4 linked regions of the Daphnia pulex genome follow. The protein of the gene in region 3 interacts with the protein of the main gene of each other region in a biochemical or structural test. Links are inferred from orthologs where the notes say so. Each region holds a gene or a part of one and is shown on either strand. Other genes may lie near its edges.

The links.
Region 1: of the proteins of COP9 signalosome complex subunit 5-like (region 3) and cullin-2-like, one has a biochemical effect on the other in vitro, tested with the Homo sapiens proteins (3 studies listed by BioGRID). The link is inferred for Daphnia pulex from reciprocal best matches to the Homo sapiens genes COPS5 and CUL2.
Region 2: the proteins of COP9 signalosome complex subunit 5-like (region 3) and mothers against decapentaplegic homolog 4-like form a complex in vitro, tested with the Homo sapiens proteins (2 studies listed by BioGRID). The link is inferred for Daphnia pulex from reciprocal best matches to the Homo sapiens genes COPS5 and SMAD4.
Region 4: the proteins of COP9 signalosome complex subunit 5-like (region 3) and macrophage migration inhibitory factor-like form a complex in vitro, tested with the Homo sapiens proteins (2 studies listed by BioGRID). The link is inferred for Daphnia pulex from reciprocal best matches to the Homo sapiens genes COPS5 and MIF.

Annotation. Positions count from the first base shown.
Region 1 is NC_060021.1:10,405,335-10,409,510, reverse strand, and holds the start of cullin-2-like, read left to right. Parts: upstream 1-1,355; 5' UTR 1,356-1,718; coding exon 1,719-2,038; intron 2,039-2,101; coding exon 2,102-2,211; intron 2,212-2,270; coding exon 2,271-2,511; intron 2,512-2,569; coding exon 2,570-2,816; intron 2,817-2,877; coding exon 2,878-4,011; intron 4,012-4,100; coding exon 4,101-4,176. Other genes in the region: solute carrier family 25 member 46-like, read right to left, coding at 1-136, 199-344, 431-487, 623-801, 859-968, 1,040-1,187.
Region 2 is NC_060024.1:13,714,002-13,717,997, reverse strand, and holds the start of mothers against decapentaplegic homolog 4-like, read right to left. Parts: upstream 2,822-3,996; 5' UTR 2,588-2,821; intron 2,520-2,587; 5' UTR 2,504-2,519; coding exon 2,372-2,503; intron 2,317-2,371; coding exon 2,212-2,316; intron 2,150-2,211; coding exon 1,975-2,149; intron 1,913-1,974; coding exon 1,622-1,912; intron 1,548-1,621; coding exon 1,344-1,547; intron 1,270-1,343; coding exon 982-1,269; intron 909-981; coding exon 793-908; intron 720-792; coding exon 583-719; intron 516-582; coding exon 77-515; intron 13-76; coding exon 1-12. Other genes in the region: sialin-like, read right to left, coding at 3,356-3,586, 3,658-3,729, 3,793-3,965. UniProt on the Homo sapiens protein: In muscle physiology, plays a central role in the balance between atrophy and hypertrophy. When recruited by MSTN, promotes atrophy response via phosphorylated SMAD2/4.
Region 3 is NC_060026.1:5,023,663-5,026,918, forward strand, and holds COP9 signalosome complex subunit 5-like, read right to left. Parts: upstream 1,913-3,256; 5' UTR 1,845-1,912; coding exon 1,705-1,844; intron 1,645-1,704; coding exon 1,410-1,644; intron 1,352-1,409; coding exon 1,157-1,351; intron 1,097-1,156; coding exon 899-1,096; intron 835-898; coding exon 577-834; 3' UTR 517-576; downstream 1-516. Other genes in the region: transmembrane protein 65-like, read left to right, coding at 1-181. UniProt on the Homo sapiens protein: Probable protease subunit of the COP9 signalosome complex (CSN), a complex involved in various cellular and developmental processes.
Region 4 is NC_060025.1:8,984,174-8,986,592, reverse strand, and holds macrophage migration inhibitory factor-like, read left to right. Parts: upstream 1-1,288; 5' UTR 1,289-1,369; coding exon 1,370-1,477; intron 1,478-1,547; coding exon 1,548-1,799; 3' UTR 1,800-1,898; downstream 1,899-2,419. Other genes in the region: cysteine-rich hydrophobic domain-containing protein 2-like, read right to left, coding at 144-194, 262-378, 442-652, 757-914; uncharacterized protein LOC124202754, read left to right, coding at 2,346-2,419.

The DNA of each region.
Region 1 (4,176 bases), on a different chromosome or scaffold from region 3:
TGTTTACGCTGGCTTCGTTTTTTAGCTGAGGTCATTCCCCAGCGAGTCAATCCCGCTGAAAGCACTGAGACGATGTAATGAACCGTCCCACATAAAACAGCAGGGCACAAAATAATCCATATTGGTAACAATCGACCTAAAAATATTTTAAATGATGCAATAGAGAATCCTAGTAAATATTTTGGAAAAATGTTTTACCTGTTTGGGGGGCAGACCAGCTTAAGAACCTATAAATCCCTTCTTGAAAAACATCAAAGATACCCGGCTTTTCACTTGCAATATCAGATTGAACAGTTTCTACAACACTTGCTGCATAAAATGGGATCACGACAGCTAGGGAAACGCTAGGGAACCAAAAAATAGATTTAAAAATTCTTTAGATATCTGCTAATAATTGTCGTATGACAATTTCAATGTGTTTTTGTGATACCTTTTCAAGAGGATGTGGTGTCCAATTGCTTTCAATGAGCTGTTACGATCAATTTCTCTAAAAAAAAAAGAAAAAAAAAACAAAAACAAGTGAATATTCTGTCAGTCTAAATATAAACACACACTGGCTATTTCAATGAACACAAGAGGACAGCTTACATGGCAACATTTGCCACTTTATATGCTAAATTACTTTGGCCATGGTGTTATCTTGCTCAGTACATCCTCAATGGCTAATGTGAGACCTCTCACAATTAAAGCACTGCCAATTCCTTTCCATAACACAGTCATGCTTTGTCTTTGGTGTAGCCTAATGACTACTGGGACCAAGCTGAAAGGTAGTGTATGGTATTTTCTAGAAAATACATTAACCTACAGATAAGCAGTATTAAAAAATTTACTATCAAATTAACGTAAAGAATTTTTCACCTGACACTGTCTTCGCAGAACTAAAAATGGATGGCATAGTAGATTTTCAGCTGCTAGTCTCATAATACCAAAACTGGGATTTGGGATTCTACTTGCATCAATCATATCATCTTACAAGAAAATAAAAATTATGTAAAGTCATTGCAAAAAAATGTGTGATGATAAAAGTCACTGTTAATACCATATCTATATTTCGGCGACGTAATAGCTTTGTTTTCATGTTGTATCCTACCATCAGTTACTGCAGAAGCAGCAGAATCAGCTTTTTTTATCCAAAAGGGAGAATTTTCTAAACTGTAATAGAACGAGTAGTCCTCAGTTCCAGCCATACTAACCTGTACACTTGATTTGATATTAATGTTTATGAATTCCAAGTAAAAAAAAAACAAACTATTTTCGTATTATGGTTAACTTTTTCTTTCGTGATACGCAGCAGACGAATAACTACTAATAATGAGCTGCCATCTGATGATAAACTAAACAACTTTTCCGTTTCTTCGCGAAGGCCAAAGGGGCCAGAGCAGACGAACCCACACTGCGCAATCGTTTTATTAATCTTCAGAATCCTTGTTCTGTGAAACCAATTGTATTCTTATTTAACCCCAGGGTCTTAAGATTCTCGAGTAAATTGATTATTCAAGGAATCTGAAACTTTGTCCTTCATTTACGATACGAAAAACAAGTAAATAACTTAAGGTCTTTTCATTGCTATTGCCAGTAGTCATTGCATGATCGTTTGTACGAAGATCAGTTTTGGTTTTCTCCCGTTGAACTTGGAAATAGGGACTCTGGCTTTTTTTGTAAAATTCCTATGATCCACTTTTTGGACTTTGATTCAGCTGTTCTAATAACTGCACAAAATGTCTCTTAAACCGAAGCGTGTAGACTTTACCACAACTTGGGCTGATTTAAAGGAAACAGTTAAAGGTGTTGTAACTCTGGGAAATGTTCCTCATACTATATGGTACAATCGATTCAGTGATGTGTATTCCCTCTGCGTGGCTTACCCAGAACCTTTAGCTGAGAAATTGTACCAAGAAACTAAAAAGTTTTTGGAGGAGCATGTTAAATCTCTTTTCATCCAAGTGAACGGCACCAGTGAAGAACAGCTTCTGACTGTGTATTACACACTTTGGCAGCAATATAGCCAAGGAATGGACTATTTGCACAAACTTTACTCGTAATTTATTCATTTCTTTTCTCTAATAAAACAAGTTAATACATGCTTTTAATTCAAATACAGATACCTTAATACCCAACACATCAAGAAACAAAAAGCATCTGATGCCGAGCTTCTTTATGGGACATTGTCTTATGAATCACCTGAACAAATGAAAGAAATCGGAGAATTGGGTAATCACTATTTGTAATTTTTTTGGTGTACTGAATCCTTATCGAAACTTGCTTGCTAGGTTTGGATTTGTGGAAGAAGTATATGATAGAGCCATTGAAAGCCGACTTGCTGAGATTACTTTTGGGAGGCATACATTGTGACCGAACTGGACAATCTTTGTATAATGAAAAGTCATCAACAATTCAGGGTGTGATTCAGTCGTTTGTTTCAGTCGAGGAATACAAGAAGAAGAACACCCTCGAACTTTATGAGGCTGTTTTTGAAGGGCCATTTCTTGAAGCGACCGGTGAATACTACAAGTAAGAAATAATTAAAATGTTAAAAATTTGCATATTACAGTTGTTTGGTCAAATTTAGGCAAGAAGCTAGTCGCTTGTTACAGGAATGCACAATTTCCTTGTATATGGAAAAAGTTTTGCAACGTCGGGACGAAGAAGATTTACGTAGTCGGAAATTCCTGCACCCAAGCTCTTACAGTAAAGTTCGAACTGAATGCGAAAAACGAATGGTAGCAGATCACTTGGCGGCTATCCACAACGAGTGCCCGACAATGGTTCAACAAGAACTCCAACAAGATCTTCGAAATGCGTACGCGTTGTTGAAGGTGAGAGCTTATCTTATTGCCTCGTAGTATAAATTTTAATTGTTTTCTAAAATTTGTTCAGTCGATTCCGGGAGGTTTGACTGTTCTGGTGTCGCACGTCATGGAACACATCAAACAACAAGGATTGCGAACAGTGACTAACCTGTCAGGAGACAACATTGCTGCCCAGTTTGTAGAGGGCATGCTTAGTGTCCACTCCAAGTACAAGGAGATCACCAACACTGTTTTCAGTAATGATCAGCTATTTAGCAGCGCTCTAGATATGGCCTGTGCTGCAGTCGTCAACCATCGCTTCAATACTAAACAAAATTGTAGGTCTCCAGAACTACTTGCCAAGTATTGTGATACTCTCTTGAAGAAGTCAACAAAAGGCGGTAGTGACACCGAAGTTGACGATAAGTTAACACAGTGCATTACTGTATTCAAGTACATCGACGACAAGGATGTTTATCAAGCTTTTTACTCACGGAAGTTGGCACATCGATTGATTTCACAACAGAGTCAAAGTATGGACGCTGAAGAGGCAATGATCAACCGATTGAAACAGGCATGCGGATATGAGTTTACCAACAAACTTCATCGAATGTTCACGGACATGTCCGTCTCATCAGACCTGAACAACAAGTTTAATCTGCTGAACAAAGATCGGATGATTGAATTAGGTCTCAACTTCTCCATCTATGTCTTGCAAACCGGTGCGTGGCCTAGACAAGTCTGCCCTACCGATTTCGCCGTACCCCAAGAGTTGGAAAAATCGGTCCAAGAATTTGAAGATTTCTATCGTCTACAGTTTAACGGCCGGAAGCTTGCATGGCTACATCACTTGAGTTACGGAGAGCTGAAACTGAACTACTTGAAAAAGCGTTACTTCATCACCATGGGAACCTTCCAAATGGCAATGCTTCTTGTCTTTCAAAAGACCAATTCCGTGACTTGTGGAGAACTCATGGAAGCCACGAAGCTTAACTCGGATCAATTCCAAAAGGTCCTTCAGAGCTTAGTCGACTCAAAGCTTTTGGCAGTAACTAGTGACACTGTCGAAGTTTTCCAACCATCTACAGTCATTTCCCTCAATATGGATTATAGTAACAAACGAACCAAGTTTCGTATTAACAACACTATCCAAAAGGAGACTGTCCAAGAAACCGAGACGACGCATTCTTCTGTAAACGAAGACAGGAAAATGTACCTTCAGGTAAGAATTATACGAATATTTTAGCGTAATGCGTTAGAAATCCGAAAACAAACTAAAGTTTTTTTTTTTTTTTCATTTGGCTTTCCAAGGCTACAATCGTTCGAATCATGAAATCTAGGAAGATTCTTCGCCACATGGTCTTAATTCAGGAGGTGTTGAGCCAGT
Region 2 (3,996 bases), on a different chromosome or scaffold from region 3:
GTGGAGATGAACCTGGACGGACAGAAAGGCGAACAATTAGAATTCCGACCGAGGGTAAATGAAAAATCAATGGTACCTCAATCCAGCAAGGGGTTTCCTTAATTGAGTTTCGTGGATAGTCGGGACCCCATCCTTTGACAAACGAGAGCCGGAGAATACAAAGTCTCCTCAAATCGTCTACGCCGATGCCGGCCGCGGCCGTTAAACTAATTGGCGGGGGCATTCCGGGAACATTGTTCGATCCGGGCATGTGTCCAGCTACGGCGGCAGCTTGGGCGGCGGCAGCAGCCTGGGCTGTGGCCGCCTGCTGCTGCATTTGCCCGTGACACTGCCTCAGGTCAAACACTTTGATGTAAGCCGAAGGATAGATTTTGTGAACGGCATCTCCGGGAGCTCGGCCGGCTTCTCGATCCAGATAGTAGCTCTGAACGAACACGCTGTGATCCGACAGGCAACGCAGCCAAACGTCTCCTTCTCCTCGCAGATCCAATTGTACTCCTTTGCCAATATGCAAACTAAAGAAAAAAGCGACGACGAAATATGAGATGAAATTGGAGTTGAAACATTTGAAAACAAAATTACCGGGCCCTCTCACTCTGGTCAGTTCGGTGGACGTTGCTCAGGGCTCCTAGGCAAAAGCGATCACCGCCCGAGGGATCAACGTATCCATCAACAGTCACCGTCGGACAAGACGACGGAACCTTAAACGTTTCTCCCACCTAGACGGAATAAAAAGAAAAAAACTGAAATTGAAAACTGATTTGGATATCGAATAATATCCGCTCAGCTAACCTGCGTGTCCAATTCGAAATAGGCAACCGAACACCAAAATTCGGGCACAGGTTGCGAGGACAGAGCGGCCTGGACTCCCAAATCGTGTTGCTGCACTGCAGGTGTCTGATGGGGCCCTGTTAAAAGATTGTTAGCGGTGGATTATTTTGACGTTTCAAAGATGATGAAATCATGTTTTTGATTGCATACAGTAGCTCGGGTGGTGATTCCTGGGATCGGGGGGTTGCATCGTTTGGGTGTACGTTAAAGTGCTGTTGCCTGTCCAGGTTCCCTGTCCACTGACACCAGCCCCGGTAGGCGGGCACGGTACGGGGCCAGAGCCCACAACGGGTTGATTGCTCATAGCAACCAGAGGAGGAGGCACACTTTGTGGTGGAACATAACTCTGTTGCTGACCAACTGAGTTTTGAGGAGTCAGCGGTTGGAACCCGTTTTGCTGGAGATTGTGAGGTGACATGGGAATCAAATTCCCTGAACCTAAAGAAAACAAAACGAAAGTTAGCATCGCATAAACGTTTTTTCCTGTAAAGCCAAAAGCTTTTGTTTTTTACTTGGAGGCATGTCATTTCCGAAAAAGACTTGGTGATGATCGTTTGATGAAGCATTCCCTTGCGGAGTAGGTGTGGGAATGCTGTGCTGTTGTTGTTGTTGCACTTGCTGCTGCTGCTGTTGTTGCTGCTGCTGCACTTGCTGTTGTTGTACTTGCTGCTGCTGCTGCATGTTATGAGGAGGGCTGGTGGGACTACTAGGCGGCACTAAAAAAAGGCGAACCGATTTGTTATTCATCATTGTTACGCAATCGACAGTTGCACAATGAAATGCTGTTTACATTGCCCTTGATTTTGCGACGGATGTGGCATCATGGAAGAAAAGGTGGGAGTAGGAGGAGGCCCATGATGTTGTATCGTCTGAGGCGGTGGCTGCTGTTGCTGCAACGGAGGAGGTATTTGCGGAACGACTCCCGATACACCAGGTGTCGACATTCCCATTCCCATTTGAGGTTGAGAATGGCCAACGCCACTTCCATCTATATCCATGCTTCGCGAAAGATATTCGTCCTTAACCATTGCGCCAGATGAAGAAGCTCCTCCAGATGGTTGCAAACTCAGGCTCGAGAGATCTACAATACAAATAAAATGACGTAATGCAAGTGCATTTTATAAATATTAGAAAACAGCTTACCAATTCCAGGTGAAACAACCCGTTCATAATGATATGGGTTCACACAAACTGAATCACATTTGAGGTCGAAAGCAAACTGGCAAAATTTGACATGTTTTAGCTCGTTTTTATGCAAATCAGGCCATCTCCAAATTCTGGCATAGATAACATGTGGGAATCCTTTCCTTCCAGCCACCTAAAAGTTTGATTGTTTTAGGGAATGATGTGTTGATGCAAAAGGTGTAAGTGAAAAATTACCTGCAGCCTCCCATCTAGTGTCCGTTGAATGGTGACACACTTGCTGGGGTGTGCTCCATTGGTGGTTATCGCAGTAATCAAACTGTCAAGTTCATCTCTCTTTTCCTAGAACAAGGTCCCGTTATTAGTTAAGAAAATGTGTCGACAGAATAGTTATTACCTTCAGCTTTTTGACAAGGCTCTCAATGGCACGCTTGGAGAAACCTTCACTCTCCCCCCCTTGACGATGGCACATCAAACTGTGAACGATACTGAGACAGGCATCAGCACTGGTGGGTGAACTGCTTGCCATCCTGGGCTTCCCTTATCTGAATGACATGATTGTTTCAAACGTTATATTAGTTAACCGTCAGGGTTGATATATTTGAAAACATACCTGCTGGGCGGATTAAATAATCCTGCCACCTCGCTAACGTCAAACTTTTTCGAAATACAAACGAAACAAAAATATCAAAGTCTGAGTTGACAGACTGAACGATACAAATTCAAGTGTTGTATTGCACGACAATCACATAATACTTTCGTAACGTGCCAATTTTCTAAATCTGCTCTGCTTAAAACTTGATCAACACAAAAACGCCTTGTACCTACGACTCCATGATGTGACGGGTGGACGTTGCCAGATCTCCGGCGACTGTCTGGCGCCAAACGAAAAATTCAAAGCAAAATTATTACCCTCCAGGCTAAAATACCGTGTCACCCCCCCTCCACTTTCTTATAATAATATCTCGAGTCCAACAATTGTCCTTTTTATGGCGTTCAAAACAAGTCCAAGTTCAAAACTCGTTTTCCCTTTGAATTTCCTACTTAGATCAGTTGGTGTGGTGATGTTGGATGATATAAGGTGTGGCCGATTAGTCATTCGCATATAAAAACCACTCCTTTTATAAAGAAGGTCGCGTCCTCTTTGTTTGTTCATTATTCTCAATCTGGTTTTTATGATTTCCCAATTACAATTCGCCATTAGGATGATTTAAAAAATTGTATTTTAAATAATTTTGTCTTTTAGTGGTTCAATTTTATAAGAAACAACGTGGAAATTAAATTCGTAGTTTTGTTCACTCTTCGTCGTGCCGTATTATAAAATGCTCTGATGAATTTCAACAATATTGAAAAAGTAAAAAAAAAATTAAGAAAACGATTCTCATGAAATCTCCGGTCGGCTAGACGGAACGGGAGATTGAAACAATTGGCGGGCGTCTTCTTTCCCGTCGTCGTCGATCTCGGCCGCGGCCGTTGTAATAATCTTCGGAGTAGTTGGGTGGTGGGACCATTTTTGTCGCTCGCTCGTCCCGAAAATGAGATAAATCATCGCCCCCAAAACATAAAGAGATCCGCTGATGTAGAAAACGTTGGCCCATTCACCCGCCGTCCCCTTTGTCAAGTCAAGATAAAAACAGAATGATTACAATCACAAATAAAGTCAATAAAAATTGAATCGAGTACCGTCGGCGTGAGATAGGCGATGGCGATGGGAGAAACGAACCCGGGAACGGTTCCTATCGTGTTCGAGATGCCCTTGAACGATCAATCCATAATTTAATATAGAAATTGTCAAAACTGTTGTGTAACATGTATCACCTGGAGGACGCCAGAGTATTGGGGGGCCAGGTCGATGTTGGAGAACATAAAACCGCCCATGATGGCGATTTCACTACCGGCCTGAGTCAAAGCCAATAAGAAAACGGCCACATAGCGCCATTCGGACGTCAGTTGGCCAACAGCGAAGAAGCTGATGGCCGGTAGCAGGAAACCTTGTTTTTTATTACAAATTGATTTTAAAAG
Region 3 (3,256 bases):
AGGAATTCCTCAACCCGATCTCGAGCCTCGGCAATATGCTTTTCGATCAACTACTTGGGCCATTAATATCGGACGTGCTATTGGTGTTGCTATAGGATGTGTGCTTGGAATGGTACCACTTTTATTTTTACCTACATCTGACAGCAAACGGCATTCAAAGGACCCTTCATCTCATTTGTGATTGGCATGTCCGATATATTATTAGTCTTATAACCTTACAAATACGTGAACCTAAAATAATTATTTAAACTCATAAAAATGACATTTTGCCGCGCAATGGCAATGGATCCTACTGCGACTTGGCAACTTTAATGTTCGATTCTTATTGTTTTGCACATTTTTGAGCATTCCGATGAACTAACGTGGAGATTCTTCACATAACAATTATTTATATTGCCCACAATTGCTGTTCAATCTTGACCCCATTATTAGAGATATAGCCAAAGAATTTTACATGTTCAATACAATATATTCTAACACTTGGTAACTCATTCACAGAAAACACAAACAAAATGGTATGCATAAGCCAGTTTATTATTAAGGATTCTCAGAGGATATTTAGAAAAACGAGATGGTTCACGCAGGCCTTGAACGCACTTGGTTGAACAGACGATCTTTAATTACTTGAGCCAGCAAACCATGAAGAGCTTCAATGGAAGTTTTTGTAGCATCACGAGCTGCTTTAGCTAGCCTATCTTCCGATCTTCTATCCTCAATGCTGGAGCCACTCACACCAACGCCGCTTCCGACTAGAGCCGCCCGTCCTAGAGAGTTTTCAGCTTGCTCAAGTTTTTCCGAAAGGTCCGATACTTGACCTGTTGTATAATCAGCATTCTAATAAAAAGAGATATTAATACTTTTTATAACATGATATAACGCTTTGAATATTTGTTCTTACTGTGGTGAGAGATGAAGAACTCAATGTGCTGACCCAGTACTTATTCCATAATGAGTCTAATAGACGGCGATCCAGAGCTGATTTAAAGTAAGAAACCTCAAGGGCATAGTACTGCTTGCAGTGGACACCAAAATCTTCAACCTTATTGAGTGGGATGGTTTGATACTCACTTGGCTCTTCATTTGGGGGTTTGTAACCCTAAGGAAAAATAAAAAGTAAACTACTCTGTACGCTTGATAGAAAAATATATCTGTTCACCTTAGGGTATGTACGGAAGGCACCAAGACACACCTTGCCAGCTGAAATAGTACGAACAGGATCTACAACAATAGCAACAAAGGGTTCCTGGAAATTTTGGTTAAGCATCTGGGTAGAAACATCAATTCCTGATAGCCAGCATCCATATCCAGGGTGTGAATGGTACCATCCAATGGCATTTTCAAGACGATTAACCTAATACTCATATTCCAATTAGTTACTTAAAAATGTGATCAAGAGCAAATGTACTTGCCTGTTTAGCTGATTCTATGTAAGCAGTCATGTATTCATAAGCCTGTGACTGAGCATTTACTCTGGTTTCTGTGCCTTCAACTGGCAGGGCAAATGCATCCATTACCACCATTGTGTTTGCATCTACTTTGCCCAAAAGCAATCCCATCACTTCTAGATGTCCTCCAGACCGAGCATGAGTAACCATTTTCAACAATGCCAAGGCTGATATACGGATCTCTTTGAAGAAATGAGGGCTAGAACATAAAACGTAAAGTTGTTAACATGACTTGATACAAAATAAAAAATAATATTACTCTTTATCCCATGGTTTAGCAGCCAACATGTCTTGCTGTTGCTTTCTATCATATCGATAAATTTCGTCAACTGAACTAATATTTTCCACATTATTAGCCATGAGCCAATTATTCAGGGCTATGTTAGATTGTGAACTCATCTTGGATGTGGAACACACAACCAATTTTACTTGAAACCTCTTTTTGCAAAAGACACTCTAAAGTCCAAATGGGGAAATTCGAACGAGGTATACCAGTGCTGAATATATCAAATCCAAACGTACAGCCGGAAACTAAATCTCATCGACTGTTGATGTCGTCTACGAGACTACGACCTACGGGTCTTGTTTTGCCTTTGGCATACTGGGAGCTGCTGGGAGAATGAAGAGGTAAAATGCGGGTCGCGGCGGTGGTAGGAACAAAGTAAAACGTAGGATTTCAGCCTCAGGGATGGATTGGACGACTGCGATTGCCTAGTCTGCTACGACTGCTACTTCAGTACTTCTGACTTCTCCTACTCCATTAGTCCATTGTCCATTGCCTCACCACTAAATCCCTATCTACTCTTTTTCCCACGTTTTACTATTTCTTACCGTGGAGTTGCCGATGCCCGATAAACAAATTCAAACTTGTTTCCAAACATGCTTTCGTTTCGAGTGTGGCAAATTAAACATAACCGTAGGAAAATACCTTGGAAATATTCATTATCTAGTTTAAATATTCTTCATAATTATAGAATACATTTTTCAACAAAAAGCCAATGCAAAGAAGAAGTATCTATTTCAAACAAATGTGTTACTATTAATCCGTGTGGTATACAAATGTTATCAAGATCTATCCATCGACAGATATTCGAAAAAGAAAACAACAATTCTGTATCTAAAGAAACGCTGTTAAAAATTCAGCAGCATTTATCAATTCACCATCTTTATGGCAAATCACCAAGTAAACTCCCAGATATTGATTTGAAGCTCCCAACTTTATTAGGAAAAAACATAGCAGAACACTTTGAAAAAATTGCTGAAAAACAATGTGGAAGTTACCGTAATAAATTGTTAGATTTGACATCACATTGCATTCCAGACATCCCTCAAGTCTGGAACTTTGCACCTGGATGGACAAGATACAACCAAAATGGAGAGATGGATCTAGTTCATTTTCCAGAAGAGGATGCATATGTCTTTGATGTGGAAGTCTGTGTGAAAGAGGGCCATTTGCCAACCCTTGCAACTGCAGTTTCAAAAAACTACTGGTACTCATGGTGTAGTAATCAGCTGTTTACTGAAAATAAGGTTTATTTTTATTTTTCTTAATACTTTTTTCACCCTATATCAATGCTTTATTATCCTACTTGACAGGTGCAAAGTTCAATTTTGAAGGATATGGAAAGTATTTATGAATTAAAGGACTTGATCAACTTGGAATCAAAAACGGAACAAGACCGTCTCCCTCTCAAAGATCAAAAAGAGCGTATCGTTATAGGACATAATGTAAGTTATGACCGTTCGCGAATAAAAGAGCAGTATTTCATCGATGGCACCAAAGTTCGATTTTTTGATACGATGGCTTTGCA
Region 4 (2,419 bases), on a different chromosome or scaffold from region 3:
ATAAACCCTTTCGGAGGAAAAGTACAAGCGTAAGAAAGACCATTTATAACAGACAATTCTGGCCGATGATGAAGAATAAGAAACGACATCCAACAATGAGCAGTCAAAATTGTGCGCAATTTTCCTTGAGTTTCCATTTCCTGTTAATCGGGACGATGAATCTGAAGTCGAGGTACAAATTCGACCAATAGCACCTGTATCACAAACATGGCAAGTATTATACCAAAAAATAAAGAAGTGAAAACGTTTTCCATTTCTTACATATTCCACCATGGCTGAACTGTCACATCTTTGTTTAGATAGCCTCCAATGTAATCCCAACTTACTGTACAAGTGGCTATTTTCCCAGTCAAGAAGTTTCTCAAGTGCATGCCTTGTCTAATGAAAGAAAAGAAATTGTTAGCACAAGTGGAATGTCAATGAAACCTTTACGCTCATTACCCTTTTACTGAGGCAAACTACAGGCCAAAGTGAACAACCCAAAGTACAGCAACAACATATACACCCACAAAACAACCACTTAACATTCACTGGAAGAGTTTTTTTCAAGACAGAATTTATTCTCTGAAGTGTTTCGCTGAACTCTTCAGGAGCGACCTTGCCTGTCAGGGCAGATGGGAATTCTGTGTCAAAACGATTACTAAGTCCAAACCTGTATGAAAATAGGCAATAACAGATAATTAAATTTCAGGTAGTTTTTACTTTTTACTCATCTCGGACGACTTCTAAAATATGTCAGAGACAGATTTCACTTACACAGTAACATTCCCAGCACCTCGAATAGCAACCGGATCTCGAACAGGTTCTCTATGATGTGTGAGCAAATCGACCCATTCTCCATTGTCTGAATGAATTCCATGATAAACGTCTTCATGAAGAGTCGAAATCGCGTTCAGGTCTTCTGCATTGGCCATTATTGATATACATTCGACTCAAATACATTCAAACAAATCAGACTCGTAAATACACTCCACAGCAGTCGTTCATCCTGTTCTACTAAACAAGTAAACAGCTGATTTCAACTTTCATTCTTTACACCATAACCATATCCATAAACTATTATTTTGGAGGATGGGAGACATAAAAAAACATTTTATACAAGATCAATTTTTATAAAACATAACACAAATAATCTTATATTTAGTACACATTCATTTAAGTGTAATTTCTATCTATTTTACGAGTTATTTTGATTTTTAATTTAATTTAATACGGGAAAACAAAGAACTTGCACGCCATCTAGCAGCGGTCACATAAATCAGCTATTTCTTGGAAGTTTTCCTAGCAGACTACTCTTGTAACTTGGTACTTGGGGTTATTCGTGATTTGATTGATTACCTAACATCAAATCGTTTAATTCTAACGGAAAATGCCACACTTAAAAATCACGACCAATGTTTCAAAAAGTTCAATCCCAAGTAATTTTTTGAAAGAGACTTCTGCATTGATTGCTAAAATGCTGGGTAAACCTGAAAGTGTAAGTATAACATCAAAACATTACAAATTTGTTTAAAGACAGAGCAAGAAATTTTATTTTTTGATTTTAGTACTGTGTTGTGACAATTGTTCCCGACCAGATGATGATTTGGGGAGGAGAAGAGGGGCCATGTGCCATTGCCCATCTAATGAGTATTGGAAAACTTGGAGTCAATGAAAATAAAAGCTATTCAAAAATACTTGGTGAACATGTTGAGAAGCATTTAGGTGTTGCTCCCAATCACATGTACATTGAATTCCAAGATGTTAAAACTGCTGATCTTGGATATGATAAAACAACCTTCCATGATATTCTTGGTTGATAGTTTATTCACAGCTGTCATTGATATCTAATATAAGAAATAAAAAATTTACCCAAAAAAATTATGCATTCATTTGTTCTAGGATGTTTGTTTTTCTTTCAAGGTTGTTCTCCAAGAAAATGCGGTAGGTAGGCTATTAATCAAAGTAACAAAGCAAGCTTTTTTTCATAATTTGTCTGATGTGATGAGAAAGAAGTAGTGATTTTCGTTAACGATAACGGATAACGTAAAAAGTCCGTTAACGGCCCTTTTTTGGTGTTCGTTAACTTAACTGATAACGCTAACGTTTGGCATTTTTCAGACGTTATTTTCGACGTTATTTTTGTTTTTAACAGCGCTTCCAAATATGTAATTTTTGGATTTTTCCCGATTTTTCCTATGAAATTTTGATTTTTTGCGCGCTTCCAGCATTTTATTGTAGTAGGTTGACTATGAAAACGAATTTAGCCAGTGACAGTGAGCAGTAGTCTTCTTAGCTTCTCTAAGGTTTTTTTTTGCTTTCAAAACTTGGCAAACGAAACTGTATAAGCAGAGTAGGAATCTATAATGTCAGATTCAGACTCTGATGCTCCTGTTGACGGTGAAGAAGAGGAGGATTTAGAATGTGCTGGGCCTTTATT